2 linked regions of the Drosophila melanogaster genome follow. The gene in region 2 interacts genetically with the main gene of each other region. Each region holds a gene or a part of one and is shown on either strand. Other genes may lie near its edges.

What was found.
Region 1: of Papst2 (region 2) and Hs6st, changing one enhances a phenotype caused by changing the other (phenotypic enhancement), as found in Drosophila melanogaster (one study listed by BioGRID).

The regions. Positions count from the first base shown.
Region 1 is NT_033777.3:20,003,290-20,011,966, reverse strand, and holds the start of Hs6st (heparan sulfate 6-O-sulfotransferase), read left to right. Parts: upstream 1-3,454; 5' UTR 3,455-3,806; intron 3,807-5,307; 5' UTR 5,308-5,546; coding exon 5,547-5,732; intron 5,733-8,677. Other genes in the region: CG17190 (uncharacterized protein), read left to right, coding at 1-87; MED25 (mediator complex subunit 25), read right to left, coding at 316-2,907.
Region 2 is NT_037436.4:17,039,969-17,047,492, reverse strand, and holds Papst2 (PAPS transporter 2), read right to left. Parts: upstream 4,697-7,524; 5' UTR 4,428-4,696; coding exon 3,576-4,427; intron 3,520-3,575; coding exon 3,338-3,519; intron 3,276-3,337; coding exon 3,119-3,275; 3' UTR 3,028-3,118; downstream 1-3,027. Other genes in the region: TpnC73F (troponin C at 73F), read right to left, coding at 1-143, 914-970, 1,035-1,152, 1,225-1,236; POP5 ribonuclease P/MRP subunit, read left to right, coding at 2,468-2,487, 2,543-2,780, 2,834-3,013; scaf6 (SR-related CTD associated factor 6), read left to right, coding at 5,034-5,055, 5,220-5,390, 5,453-5,799, 6,892-7,054, 7,283-7,355. UniProt on the Drosophila melanogaster protein: Mediates the transport of adenosine 3'-phospho 5'-phosphosulfate (PAPS), from cytosol into Golgi. PAPS is a universal sulfuryl donor for sulfation events that take place in the Golgi. Essential for viability.

The sequences.
Region 1 (8,677 bases), on a different chromosome or scaffold from region 2:
TTGCAGAATCTTCGCAAGGTGTTTGCCGCTAGCGCTGGAAGTGCAAGTTCCGCATCCTCGGGGGGCGGCGGCGGTGGAGCAAACTAGTGGACTTTCTCGGAGATTATGTTCTGTGATTAATATAAGTCTTGTGCAAATTCGGATTTCCCTTGATTCTTACTAATTAAATAAACGAAATGTTATGAAAATGGAGAAATTAATATTTCGATTTTGGGAAATAGATTTTGCCACTACCCCAAAAAAGACTTGCAGTTGGATTTTATAAAATATTTTACTGTCTTAATTCTGGTTTTTTATACGATACTCTTAAGTAGCCTACATGAACTCATAGTTTCCGTCGTCAAAGTTGCGATTGCCGACCATTGGACCGCCTGCTCCCATTTGATTGGGATTCTGGCCACCCATTTGCGGCCGGAACTGATTGCCTGGCGTGGTCTGGTGCTGCAAGAGCTGGCGCAGCCCCGGGTTGTTGTTGCTCATCATGGGACGCACCATGCGCTGCTGCTGCTGTTGCGCCTGCTGCTGCTGCATTGCGGCGACGTTTGGCGCCACTTGTTGCAACTGCTGCTGGAGGTTTGGATTGGGCACGCCACCGGGACCAACACCCACGCCAACACCTACGCCCAGTGGCATTCGCTGTTGCTGCATCATGTTCATCTGCATTTGATTCTGTTGCATGGGCATGCCGCCGGGACCGGGACCAGGTCCGCCGCCAGGACCTCCACCACCCATCTGCATATTGAGTTGGAACTGGTTGTAGTGTTGCTGCTGCGAGTTATCCTGTTGCATCTGTTGCTGCTGTTGTTGTTGTTGCTGTTGCTGCTGCAGCTCCATGGGCGACTTGCCTTGCTGCTGCATCATTTGCTGCTGTTGCTGCTGCTGTTGCATGTTGCCGTGCTGCTTTTGCTGTATGACTTTGCGCAGACGTTCCACAAACATTGCCTGATTATTGGGAATGAAGCCCAGAAAAGCGTTGCGATCGGGCGTGTAGAGTAGGATGAGAACCTTAAGGTCACAGGCTGGTGAGTTGGGGATGGAGGAGAAGTGGACGCAGCCAGCATAGCCGGAGGTCATCATCTTGGCCAGCGAATCGAGTGCCTCTCCTGGAGTGGGTCGAAAAACAACCATTTTCGAGTCCTTGAGAAACTGCCCACCAATATTGCCAACTAGGTGCTTGGGCATTAGCTGCATCAACAGCTTGGGCGGCCAGTTCTCAGCCTTGATCTCGGGCTCGCCATCTTTGATGTTGGTGCACACGGTACACTGGAGTGTATGGGGAATCTTCTGTTGATCGGACTTTGGCTTCTCTGACCACTCCAGCACTCCGGTCCATATCTTTTCCCTCAAGGAGGCCTGCTCCTGCTGCGAATTTCCCTGCTGTTGCTGCTGCGGATTGCCCTGCTGCTGCGGATTCGACTGTTGTCCTACTTGTTGTTGCTGCTGCTGCGGATTAGACATGTTGCCGGCATTGCTAGCCGGCATCATATTGTTTCCTGCATTGGGATTTACCTGCTGCTGTTGCTGTCCTTGCTGCTGCTGTTGCTGTTGCTGGGCCAGTTGCTGTTGCTGCTGCAACTGCTGGTGATTTAGCATCTGCTGCTGGCTCAGCATCTGCATCCTTTGTTGCTGCTGCTGTTGGGCCTGTTGTTGCTGCTGCTGCTGCTGCTGCGCCTGCTGCTGTTGCTGCTGCTGCAGCGAGGTCACAGTTTGGTTCGGCGGCGGCGCATTAATGCGCGATATCAGAGCAGAATTTGGATTCTGTTGCATGCCGCCGCCTTGGCCCACACCGCCCACATTGCCTGCTCCCTGCATGAAGGGCGGACGCGCCTGACCAGGCTGGTTGGGATACATCCAGCGGTTTTGGCCGGGTCCCACGTTTTGCTGGAAGTTCTGATTCTGCATTTGATTGGAAACGAATTGATTCTGCTGCTGCTGCTGCAATAGTTGCTGCTGCTGCTGTGGATTGAGTAAGCCCGCTGGGGGATTTGGACCGGGCTGCTGTTGCTGCATCGTGTTCATGTTCATGACCTGCTGCTGAGGATTGCCTTGTTGTTGCTGTTGCTGCTGCTGTTGTTGTTGCTGTTGCTGCTGCTGGGCTGGAGTGGTGTCCATGGGCATGCCCTGCCCTTGTTGTTGCTGACCAGCTTGATTTTGTTGCTGTTGTTGTTGCTGCTGCACTGTAGCCTGTGCCGCATTGGGTGCAGCCATTTGGGCCGCCATGCTGTTGGGACTAGGTGCTCTCTCCTTGAGGCTGTATCCCTTTAGAAGCACTAGGTGTCTTATGTTCTTGGCATAGTTTTTGCTCGTAATGGGCTGATCTCCGTCGGCCTTCATGAAAAGTTTGAACAACACCGGCATCTTGCGTGGCGCAATAATGGAGAGATTGATTTTGCGCTCGTTGAAGAGCGCCGCCAGCTGCTCACATGATTTGCCCGGATACTTCCACGACTCCGTTGTGGGCATCTGGTACGGCGGACTGTTGCAGATGAGAATGCAGTGCCTCTGGACGCTGGTCTGATCGAGCAACTGGCGCCTTTCGCTGATGTCATCAAAACAGCCGTGGGCCGCAGCAAATCCTTCGGCCATGTGGGCACAGGACTCCATTCCGCCTCCCACTAGTGGCAATCTTTCGATCGTCTCCATCACTTTTTGGGGCTGCAGAAAGGGACCATAGGTTGAACAAACTGGCTCCAGCAGATTGGCCGCTGTACGGTAGACCACAATACCGTACAGAGTGGCAAAGCGCTCCGCAATCAGGTATTCCCGCTCGTCGATGGAGCCAGTGGTGAAGTGCTCCAAAGTCGGCAGGATGTAGTTGGTCTTTAGTTCGTTGATGTAGGCTCCGTTGATGGCGCTGCCCTCGATGACGAAGACCACGTCGGCCAGGGGAATCTGGTCCACCTCCATTGGACGATGGGAGTTGGCTTTAAGTTGAAAAACTTGTTGCAAAAAATGTAAACTATGTTGTCTGCTTTACACCGCTCTTTTACTTTTTTCGTTTGTTTTGCATATCGCTCTGCTGCTATCGATAGTCAACTTATGGTTATCGCTCAGCGATTGCTAGGGCTGCAAAATAAATGAATATTCAAAAGTGCCCATAAAGTTGGATTTAAGAATATGCAGATTGCCTTGAAAACTTGTTTCTATTGAATTCTTTTTCTATTTTCACAAATAAAAAAACGTTTGGTGTTTATCTAATTAACTTAAAATTGAATATTGCATACAAAAGATAACTATAAATAAGATATTACGATGTTTTATGTTAGGTATCATAATTATAGTTGTTTTATGTATGTATTTTCAATGGAACTATAAAGTTAATTCTTTAAATATTCGTTACCAATAGTTTATATCGATGGTTGCAAGTGCTGCCAGACTCTCGCAGCGAGTTTCCGTTCGGCAGTCTGGCAGCGCGGTCAGCTGTTCCTATTGCCCAACTTGCGCAGTTCGTTTTGTTCAGTTCATTCGCCGATTTTGAAGAATGCGGACGTTGACGCTGGTACCGCGTCGTTTTGCCAAAATAATTCGTAAAAAATATACGCAAAACGCTTAGAAAGTGTCAATTAACTAAACATTAGCTATTGAGCAGTGCAAGTGCAGGAAAAACGATCGCAGAAATAGCCGAAAACACATGAAAGTGCGAATTGCGGGCTTTTTTGTGGCTGGCACAGAATGTGTGGCACAAAGCGGAAAGCGCGCTAATTGAGCGTGCGAGCGCCTGAAACGCAGAGAAATGTAAATAAATAAACGTGTGACGCCGCGACAATTGTGAAAAGTGCACAAACACGACGTTTGGCAAGTGAAAAGTGAGTGAAATCTAGATAAATTTCATTAAATTGCCCATTTCGCATCTGGCAAGAAGAACAGCTGTTGTTTGGCATCTCGCTCTGTCTGGTTGTCCTCTCTCTTATTTTGCCCTCTCTCTGTTTTTGTTGCTCCCCTTTGCTTCTGTTTTTTTTTACTGCAATGTTGCTAAATCGTTTGATTCTATTATTATAATTATACTCCTTGCCCTGACGTCACTGCCTCGAAAAACCTGATAATTTGGGTAGGCAATTAGCATGGTTTAAGTATAGTTTAGAGTACAGAGAAGTGAATTAAACGGCCATGTGTGCACAGCATGCATGCTTTTTTGTTATTGTTGCCTGGCAACATGTTTCGCCACATCTGCCTTTTTTTTCTTGTCTCTCTGTTAGTCCAATTTGCCAATAAGCAACTTTTCCATTTGTTTACAATAATTGTGATCGCTACAGAAGCACCGATCGTGAAGTAAAAAGCGCCTACATAAATATAAGGCACCAGTTATGCTTGGGCGTCACTCCGACTGCCGATCGCCAGTTATTTTAGTTGGGTGTTTGTACATTTAAATACCCTACCTAAATGCAACTTACTCGCATGTAGTCAATATCATTCAAACCCTAATATGTTACGCATTTTCCAATCGGGTTTATCACATATAAACAATATCGAAGCCAGATAAAGCGACTTGTGATAATAATCACCCATACAACAAAGGCTGTTCATTCATTATATTTACCATATTATTGATAACTATTTTTATAACTGAACTACAATATGTTCTTATAAATAAAGAATCACTAGATAATTTAAATATTAAATGAAATAAGTACAAACTATTTTTTAACTATAATAAGTTATTATTTGAGTAATTGCACGTATTATCATGTACGGATGTAGGTTTTTTGCTTTAAATAATAAACGTATTTAAACGTATTTTTAATTGATTAAGGGTATACTAAATGCATTGCTTTCGGCTCCGCCATTCACTTTCCACTATTGCGTCATTATTGGTTGATTTATGTATTTTATCGTTACGCTATACATTTGCAGATCGCATTCGCGCGTGGAAATTTAATTTAAGATTTCCCACACAAATAAAGATAAATTTGTTATTGCACAAACGTTTGTTATTCACGCCCGTCTTGAATACTTACTAATAGATTTGCAATTAAAATAGGGTCAGATTAAACGATAAATCAACTTCACCGCCTGCTTATCAGTTTTTGACCCTAACAAAAAAATAGAAAGTCCAATTAACTATGTATGTACGTTTTAATTGTGAACTTCTTATCAGTCTGCCATAGATTTAGGTTCTTAAAAACTATTTTTGATTTTCCCCTGAAGAGCTTTCAGCTACTAAGTAAGTGGCTAGATAAGGGCTAGACAATTTGACAGACCGCTTTATCGGCATGGTCAAGTGGTAACTAATCGGAAACGGTGTTGCTTTTGTAGTGCTCCCAAAACTAATAGGTTTCTAACCGTTTTTCACTCTTACTCCATTTGCAGGCACTGAAAGCCGAGAGACAAGGAAAACCCATTTCCGCGCCAAGTGCAATGGGCGAAGGTGTTCCCATTTTTCGAGTTCTTATCGGGCAGCGACTGAAGTATGATTGAGTTGGCCTCGCCTCCGATTCGCGTCTGGTTCTCGTTGCGCTAGGCCGATACGGATACCCGCTTGGACTCCACTCGGGTGGACCCTTGTTGGACCTTTAGTGCGATTTTCGAGGGAGGCCAGGGAATGGAACATGCCCGGGGATATGCATAAGAACGTATCTGTTCAAGTCGATAGTGATTTTGCCTTATTGCTGCCCAGTGGTGTTTATGAAATCAAGAAAATGGAACCGCGCTCCAAAATCCGAACAATCATTGTGTTTTGCCTCTTCCTGGCCATCGCCGGCATCATCGGATTTGGATACTTTTGTCAAGATCAGGTAAGTGCCAAATCCCCTCATTAATTCCCATTGCTTATAATTTATAATTTTCTGTTACTTGGCTCCAATGCAAATTAGCACACCAATTGGCGAAATGCTGAATTTATTCATTAATATTTGCCGTACATGTGTGCTTTTATTGGAATTACCATTCATACATTTTTGGATCGCACGAAACTTGTTTTGCTATGGCGCATTAATAAATTTATTATTTAAAATATTCGTATAAAAATATGCGTTGGAGTGTTTTTCCCTTCGGCGCTAAAGACAGCTTTTATAATATAGAACTCTTTCTCGATGTTTATCAATTTTTTGGGAGCTTTAATTAGACAAAACAAAATGTTTTGTTTACAGCCTTTCGGTTGGCGCCTTTAAAACTCGGAAATTGTTTACGCAAACGCAAAGGTGCTAATGAAATTCCTCCAAAAATGGAAAATGTGTAACATAATAAGATTTCGCTTGCAGGCGATTGTGCTTCTGTGTTATTATTCATAAATCTTTGACACGCGTGCCCCGTATTGAAATTAGTCTAATCTGTAGCATAAAGTTTACAAACAACTATGGATTTCTGGTTGGTATATTTGGGTCACTACTCATAATATCGCCCATAAATCTTCGGCGTGGTTGATTGAAATTTGTCTTATCTGTTGGACTAATAAGGCTTCCCCCCGCGCATCTAATGAATGATTTAATGGCCGAGGTGTAAAGTGCATTCGTGGGCCATAAAAACCGAACCGAGGCAAAACAGCACATAAAATTCTACCCTGGGGACACATAAACCCGCACCAGTCGCTATTCCTTCAATTTTTGCTGCCTCGCGGTGTTCATATACTTGCGTACTTTGGATATATTTAACTATTAATCCAGCTCGTGCCAGTCACGTCTAAAAAAAGCCACGATGAAATTGTTTGAAGAAGGTCATCAATTGCCAATTGCAGGCGAAACAAAAATTTAATATATGTACATACATAAATACATACGCCTCGATGAGTTCTATCATATGTGTGGCTGTTGAAAAATGTTTCAATTTCGTTCTGGCGGTCTTTAATTAAACAAGAAACAAATTCGTTGATGCTCCAAGAACCGAAAAAGAAGTCAAGTGGGCGTGACTTTTAGCAAGAGTTCAATGTCAAATGGCTGTGTTTATGATACAGATATATGTATATAAATGTTTATTCTATATATTTTCGTGCTTTTCGCTTTTTGCTATCGGCGGGTCTGTCTGCAGTGAGCATTAAACTATTTTCCAAATTGAAATAGCTAGCCAAAATGACATTAATTGAGCGCAGCTGCCTCGCCCTCTGGTTTTCCCTGTTTTCCGCACGCGATCTGGCCAGACATAGTGACGAGCAGGGCGTGGCCACGCCCCCTGCCGATGCGTACGTTGGAAAATTCGCCGTCTTTAAAAATAGCTTAATTAGTTGTACGCGCCATAAACGAAAAATATGCTTAGTGCTTGTATTAGTGTGGCGAAAGGCAAACATGAAAATTGGGCTCATGAGGTTGCGTGTCCAATGGAAAACAGACAGATTATTCTATTATTTGGGATGCGAGGGCGGCCCATTTCGGTGATTCTTTCAGATTTGTAACCTTAATGGGCCAAGTTGAATATAAATTACTCGGTCGCAATGGGAGTACTTTGTTCCCGGAATACTTTAACTCTTGCTACTTGGCCTGATAAATTACAAGCTATTTTTAATTGTCCTTCTTTGCTGAACTTAAGTAGCAGTAACAGTCCTCTTTCAGATCATTAAGCCAGTAATGTTACATTACTTGCGAGGAAAAAATGATTTAATAATATGACAGGCAGATAATAAAAAATATAAATTGCTACTGTTCGATAAACTGAATCGCATTTAATTTGGTATTGAAAGGAAAACAGAATTGATTGCTTTGGCGGGTTTGTTTTCAAACAGCTCCGTTTTTTCGGTATATACAATAGGTGCATTTTACTATATTAAATCTAAAAAAATTATTGTTTATGAGTTCTTAAAACAAAGTAAAAAGGTTTTAACTTAATAGCAAAAAATGTAATTGAAGTCTATTTATTAAAACTGCTAAAAGAAACAATCATTGACAGGTTAATAAGTACTTGAATAGTTACATTGCTTTGTTTCTGACACATTTTTAAATTTCAGCTTTAATTTACAGCCTGTGGCATACAATATTGGTCAGTAAAAGAGGAAACTTTATTTGACAGTTATCTTCGCAGTGTTTGTTCCATTTCTAAAGTAGCCACAAATGTGTAAACACTATCTGCCAGTTGAACATAAACAACATCGTTGACTCTTGCTCGGAATATTTAATGCTCTGCCTCGTTGAAATGCTATATTTTTTTCTAATTTGGTTTTATTTATTTCAATTTATGCAAATTTTAAATCACTGAATATTTATTCAGTCTTGATAAAAAGCCATTAATTAAATACCGCGTTCAAGTTGTTTGAGTATGTTTGAGTTTTAAATAAATTGCGGCTGGAGAATTTCGTGATTGCTGTGACGTCCGATCTGCAATTGTTTACGCACATTTCAAATAAGGTCCAAAGTTCAATTACAGGTGGTGTGTATTTGTTTATGCACTTCACTTGGACTCTTTGCTTTATCTGATTGAATAAACAAAAGGCGATGTTTATTATTTCGATACGCTTGCATATTCAGTTTTCATAATTGCTGCAGTGGTTGTCTGGATTTTGGTGCAATTCACAAAGCGCAGCTAATGAAATGAAAACTATTTATGACTTTTTCTGTTTTGTTTGGCCGAAATGTTTTCCGAAATTTATACCCGCACCTCAACCACAATGAAAATGTTTTGTTTTAGGTTTTTACGGCGCATTTTCCGCATTTATGTATATGTTTTGTCCCCCTTTTTTTTTGGGCTTAGTTTACTTACCAAATTACAGGGGAATGAACAGCATATGAAATTCGTGTATTTATATCACTGTTTTTAT
Region 2 (7,524 bases):
GGTGGTGGGAATGAAGCCATTGCCCTGCTTATCGTACAAACGGAACGCCTCGCGCAGCTCCTTCTGCATGGCCTCCGCATCCTCCTCCACGATGAACTTGGCAGCCAGCTGGACGAACTCGCCGAATTCCAAGCGACCGGACTCTGAAATGTGCCAAATATTCCAAGTGTTTATAATTAACTGCAAAAACGACTGGAAAGCCAGCGGCTAATGATGGGGCAACCAAAACGACTATGATCATAAATCAATGACAGCGAGTAACTAAAATTTAATCATCACTCGATGGTGAATCATCTGTGATTTGCTGTAATAGCCAGCTAAACCTTATTCAATAAATATATACATTTATTACTTGCAGCTGTCATAAGGTTATTTTTTTTATATTTTGTTCACTTTTGTTATTGGATCATAGAGTCACTTTTGCATAGAGTCTGCACATAATTACACCTATATAATATCTAAAAAACTGATTTCATTTCTAATTGTAAGATAATATTTTTTTTAGATGATAGATTTTTATAGATTATAGACTATAGATGTTGAAGGAAAATGTGTATATATAACTACACAAATCGATTAAACGAAAGAAAAAAACATCCATGAAATCGGCACAAGTGTACATATATATTATTGATGCATTTCTCATTTTTATTTTGTTTCATTTTATAATAACTATATGCATTTAGTTTTTGTAGAATTTTCACCCTGTTCTACTTGGGGACTGAAATAAATTAAATTAAATATATGCCACACAATTATTTTAATTGGCAGTTTGACTCAATGACTCAAATGCAAATGTTGTCTATTTTGAATTGTATTCATATTAAAATTGTAAATATAATAAAATATCATTGAAATACTCAGCAACTTTCGACTATATCTATCATACGTTGTAAAAATAGCGTTTACTTACTGTCCTCATCGACCTCCTCGATCAGTTCCTCCAGGATCTTCTTGTCGAAGGGCTGACCTGCAGTTGTAAAAACAATAAGTACTCCTTCATCCAAATGGACATCCTCAACCCCAAAACTCACCCATCAGGCGCAGTATGTCGGCGACCATCTCGGTGGGGATGGAGCCAGTCTTCTGGTGATCGAAGCTGTTGAACGCCTTCTGGAGCACGGCGATCTGCTCGGGTGTAAGATCTTCATCCTGGAATTGGACACACATTTAGGTATTAATCATCGACAATCCTGTGGAGCTGGAAAAATCTCAGATGCTTACGACGCTGCTCATGTTGCTGCTACTTTTGGGTATATCTTTGCCAATGGGATCTGTCTGATCAGCCTAATCTTGCGAAGCGATCGTCACGGAGTATTCGTTCCAACTGCGAGGCTGCGCGGATGCGTTTTCCAAAATATAGACCACAATCGGTGAACTTGCCACGGAAAAGCGGAAAAACACGAATGCGGCTGCCGATCAATCGGTGGATGTTCGGATCGTTGGAGTATATGTAGCGTTTTTCCACGCCGCTGCCCGAATTTTATTGTTTTTTAGAAATGACTGTAAAGTGCGATGGGAAAAAGCAAAAATAAAACGCGATCGGAGCGTATCCCGCCGCATTCGCTGCCCCGGAGACTGAACACGAGCCGTATAGTGGTTTTCCACGGCCACCGATCGCTCGTTGGATGGAGCACATCCCATCCAGTGGAGCGGCATGGGGAGCCGTCGACGGGGCAGCCACGATATCTGCATATGTGCGCCAGCCAGCTATAATGCGATGCGTTGCGCTGAGATCCCCGCATCCCCAAGTCTGCGAATATATATCTATATATTATATAGATATGTGTTTAGATTCAACGAACAGATGGAGAAATCCCCACTGGCACTGGAGCAATGCCCCCCATTCCGTTTGTCGCCGGAGAGCGAAACGTGGGCAGCGGCAGTGAGGAATGTTCTGCCCACATCCATGAATTGGTCGACAAGTTGCCAGTTTCTCTGTCCGATTCCCCGAATCCATTGTTCAATTGTCAAAATACAAGTGAATGGGTGGAAAACAATGTATGTCCATGCATTTATTTTCAATACATCAAACTCGAACAAAAGACTTTCTAAAAAGTAAAAGGTTGATTTTTCGATTGAAAATATACACCAAATAAGAAATTCTAAGTTCTCACGCTATATAAACATATTGAACATACAAGGTCATTATCTATTCAAGCGTTCCAAATAAATTACAAGACTTTTGGATTTGGAAAAAAATTTGAATTTTTTAGAGAGAATATCGGATATGCAAATAAGGATAAAGATATATAAATAGTCTTTTCCAGCTAACGTTTATTTAAATACAGCTGAATCCTTTATTGAGGAATATTTTTTTCATCCGTATACAATAAGACAACATTTATTTATCACATAAAAAACCGAACAGCTATTTCCGGAATTTTGAAAACCGATACGTTATCGGTAGTTGAAGCGAATTTGGTCTGGCAACTATCTGCGACGTTGCCATATTGATGACACAGCGATGGTTCGCATAAAGAATAGGTAAATATTGACCGCGTTTTCCTTAACGATCATTAATTAAACCATCCATAAACAGGTATATAGCGGTGCAGATTGTGCCCTACACGCCAACACAATCTCTGCGACTCAACGACCACAGCCTGACCAAGATCCTGCTTCAGAATGTGGAGAAGTATTACGGAGTCTATGGCCTCGCCGTGATCGAGCAGGGATTTCGAGTGAAATACATCAACGATCGCACGAAAATGGCAATCATACGCTGTCTCCATCGAGGCCAACGCTTCGTGTCCAGCGTATTGCCATTGATTACTTTGGTTGGTCTCATTGCCATGTCCTTAAACCAGCTATAAAACCACATTTCTTTCAGATCGGAGATGTACGGGCCAAGTTTAGGACGCTGTACATTGGTGCCACCATCATCCAATGCAACAAGTTCATAGTCAAGCACCAAAAACAGTTCCTGGACCGCACCATGGGTCAGATAACCTCCGCCAAGGAGCGCCAGGATCTCTTCAAGCGCGTAATGGAGTTCGACATGGACAGATAGCACATAGTTTGTTTAGAATGTAATTAAGTAATTATATTTAATGGTTTTCTTATAGAAAACCCATGCTTCCAATTCAACTAAAATGTGAGTGTTTTTGGTATCGTTCTAAACTTCGATGAGGAATTTGCGACTCGGTGAGCGGGCAACCTTGGCTCCAAATTGCTTTATTCTCTGCCGGACGTCGGCCAACGTCAGCTTGTTCCTCTTGCTGTAGACATTGAGATATATGCCCAGGACAACGATGAGGCCCGACCACAGATATCTGAAAGTTTGGGATAGGTATAATAGAGCTTTGTCTTTAGAAATACACAGAATAGTACTTACTGTAAGGTAAAGGGCTTGCTGAAAAGCACAAAGGAGAAGGCTATAGTCACAGCCTTGCGGGCGGTGGTCACTGTGGCAGCTATGGGGGCACCACTACTCCTCACCAGAGCCAGCACAAACTGAATGCCCAGATAGCCGGACAAACTAAAGAGGAAGCCATAGCCGAAGGTCTCAACGGGATGCTAAATGGATAATACACTTTAGATCTCTTACATCATAAACCTCAAATGTTACCCACCTCCAAACAGAATGCAAAGCCGCTGAAGAAGTTGCCGGTAACCAGCATAATCACAAATAGGTACACAAAACCCAAGCCGTATGAGTAGAACACCACCTCACTGCTGGGCGCCTTGAATTCCCGCATCGCCTTCTCCTGGACATTGCCAATGGCTGCGTCGCAGAGCAGCGCTCCCGAAATCATGGCCACACCAAGCAGATTGAAATTGGGCGTCATCTGGGAGTCGGCCAGCGTGAACCAGGCCAATCCGATGCACATGCAGGTGGCTGCCGCAAAGTCCAGCAGTCCGTAGCGTTTGCCCTGTATGAGGATGCTGCCCACCAGCACGGGAATGAGCTTGCAGCACTTGAAAATCACCTGGGTGGGATAGTTCAGGTAGCCGAGACTTGAGTTGGACAGACCCATGGTACCCAGCGTGAGAGCAGCCAGAATTAGGTATGTTCTCATGGGAATGCAACGTGGCTCCGGCTCAATGTTCCAAAAGGAACCGCCGCTTATCCGATAGCCCTCCAGCCGCCGCTCCACCAAACCGAAGCCGATGTAGTAGCCAAACTGGACGAGCGTGAGGAACCATCCGTAGGGTTTGAATCCTTCGACGGTGAAGATCAGCTCCTGCAGATAGCCGTACAGGATGTACAGGAAGAAGACGCCGGCGCAGCTGAGCAGGAACTGAGTTGTGCGATTGTAGTAGGTGAGGTCAAAGCAAAGGATACGGAGTTCCGGCGGAGATTCCGACGTCGAGGACTTCCGCTGCGAGGGCGGCGAGTTTCCCGCCGATTCGCCGCCATTAATGGTGATAACGCTCCCCTTATTATCGGTCATTCTGCTGCTAGCGGATGTGTCTATATACATATACACACTATATAGTGGCTATTTCAAGATTATATTTCCAGGGAGCCCGTGTAATTCAATGCCACGCTGTCCGCGGAGTTGTCGGTTTAAAGTGCGGATTTGTCATGCCTCCTCGGATGCTGCATTAATCACGGGCCGGCGTGGAGATTTCTGTTGGGTGCAAATTGCCCTGGCTAAATGTTTGTTTACCACAAATAAACTATTTTTGTCAGCTTAGAACTGAGATAGACGCGCGGCGTTGCCACGTTGTGGTAATAATAGAAGAGAGACCGGTATAACGTGGAACAAGTTGGCAGCTCTGCTACCACCGTCATTCTAATTGGAACTTCTGCTACTGGCAATAAATACATTTAACAAATGAGCAGCGATAAAGGTTTAAGCCGCTTTTTTGCTCAAAAAAGCGTATGATAAGCGCTAAAAACTACTTAAAAAGTAGTGCCGAGAGTAACTCCTAGTATTTGACTACATGTCGTTCTAAGAATACAAAGATATGGGCACACTGTCGGAAAAAACAAGAAGAAGCAGTGAAAAGTGCCGCTGAAAAAGTGCAAAAAGTTATGAATTTAGTATTTTACATAGGATAATAGTGCTAATAACAGTCGCAAAATGGACGTGCAACCGCCACGCGGTAAGTGCAGCAATTAAAAAGTGCTGAATATAACTTAAAATCAAGCTAATTTTGTGCCCAAGTCGATTGGCATGCACATGTGTACACATACAAACAAACAAGCGCACGCACAACCTTTGATATGCTCACATTTTTTGCAAAAACCATTTGCTTTCTATTTGCAGATGCCAGTTTACGAAATATTATCGACAAACTGGCGGAGTTTGTGGCCAGAAATGGGCCGGAATTCGAGGCGATAACCAAGCAGAAGCAGCAGAACAATCCAAAGTTCGAGTTCCTCTACGGCGGGGAGTTCGCCAACTATTATCAATTCAGGGTGGCAGCGGAACAAGCTCGTGAGTGCGTTCTAAATTGGTGGAAAATAACCCCTATAATCTCCTTTTAACACCCAATACAGTGCTAAAGCAACAGGCCATTAACCAACAACTGCCACCAGGTGCTCCATCCGGCCACTACATGCAACATCCGCCGCCAATGCAGCAATCCCAACCACCGGGCCTCTATCCGCCACCCAATCAGCAGCCACCGCACCCGCCCGAAACCGCACAAGACAATATGCAACAGCAAACACAGCACTCCTGGCCGCCGAACTCCGGCAACGGTGGGCCGCCAAACAATCAGCAGGCCAATGGCAATCCCATGGCCATGAATCTAACGTCACAACTGGAAGCCATCAAGATGCAGCAGAAGTCGCTGCGGGAACAGATCCAGCAATCCGAAGCGAATCTCTCCGCACAGCACACGGTAATTTGAAGTTGGAAATAACTGGGATACCTCTATATGCCCACCTTTGCAAGCCTTTTTCCGAAAGATTAGAGCAGCTCGAGTGTATAAAGAAAAGATTTCAATATGATTTCATGTTGAATGTTGGCCTCCTCTGGCAAAAATTTAAAGAAGCAAATTGGTTTCCTTTTTAAACTAAATACCCACCTAAAAGTTGCTTTTATAGTCTGAATATAAGAACGTGTTTGCTTCTTCGAATTTTTGACCTCCCTTTTAAACGACCCAATCGAATGTGAATATACCTCGATTTTAAGCCAGAATGCTTTTAATTATTTTCTTAAGAGAGAAGATAACTTGTATAACCCTTATATACTTTCGGACTTAAATGATTTCCAAAGATATTGTCATAGACTCATAGATGGCAGTTTTGTATTCCCTAGTTTTTGTAATAACAACTCTGGAACAAGAGTTCATCAAATGGTGTTTAATATTAATAATTATGAACTGCTTTTGTGGACTTTTCACTCTATAAGTACTGTGAACTAAATTCTTTCTAATAAGAAGGACATTTCTTATTGCTTGTCGCTATTGAATTTCCCTGTAATGGAAGTGACTTCCCTCTTGAAATTGTTTCTTATGAAACTAATCCACGAATTCCTCAGAATAATCAATCCTGCTCTCGACCCTTTTCCAAATGTTTTTTCAATCGATCTACTCAGTTCTTGTTCTCCAAGTGCGGATAAGATAAAGTTAAAGTGTACTTTCAGCAATATCAAACTACAATCTATATTTGTCATTATTTTTACTATTTAATTAACAATTTACAATGCTACATTAAATTTTTGCTTTATTGTATTTTTTGAAACATAAACCAAAAAAAAAAAAACCAAATCAAACCACTCTTCATACCAACTGACAAAACTGTATAAAAACAAAAAAAAAACAAATCCTAAAATCAAATTTGTTTTGAAACGCTTGTCAAATGAATCCCAAAATGCGAATATGCATGCGAACAAACCTTTGTGTGCCTAATGACCAAACCGAACCGATCCGAACCACACCAACGCTTGCGATCCTAATCGCACCAATCAACCAAACGAAACCAACCTGTAGGCCCTGATGAATCAGAAGACCAAGCAGATCGAGGATGCAATTGCGGCGGCGCAGACGGCGCAGCAGGAACAGATGGCTGGCGAACAGGGCATTGTGCTGAGGGACTTCGATGGCGTTCTGCAGCCGATCATCGAGTCCTGCACGAAGGACAGCATCTCTGCAGGTAAATACGAGTTCAGCGGACAGGCTGGATTACATTATTGCTTGTTTGTAGTCTCGTAATCAGTCATAAGTTAGCTAATGGAGCTGAATTTTTGATGCTCCGCAGCTTTGCTGCACACAAAGCGCACACTAAATGAATCCATACTACTTTTTGATTAATCCTAAACCTAATTTATAATCGCCATGGACAATGACAATATGAGTAACCCGTTTGATATTGCAATTTTAGGCAAGAACTGGATTTTACAGCATTCAACCGACAGCGCAAAAATCAATGTCGTTTTACAATATCTTTTAAAGAAGTATGCCTCAGTTTTATACCTAATGACCTGCAATATGTATTAATTAAATTGTGTTTCTTTCTTTCAACGAGTGAAATACTAACCAAACATAGAAAAACGAAATACGAAATATCGAACAAACAAGTGAGAGATGATCGATTGAGCGATTGTGCGATTGAGACTTCCACAG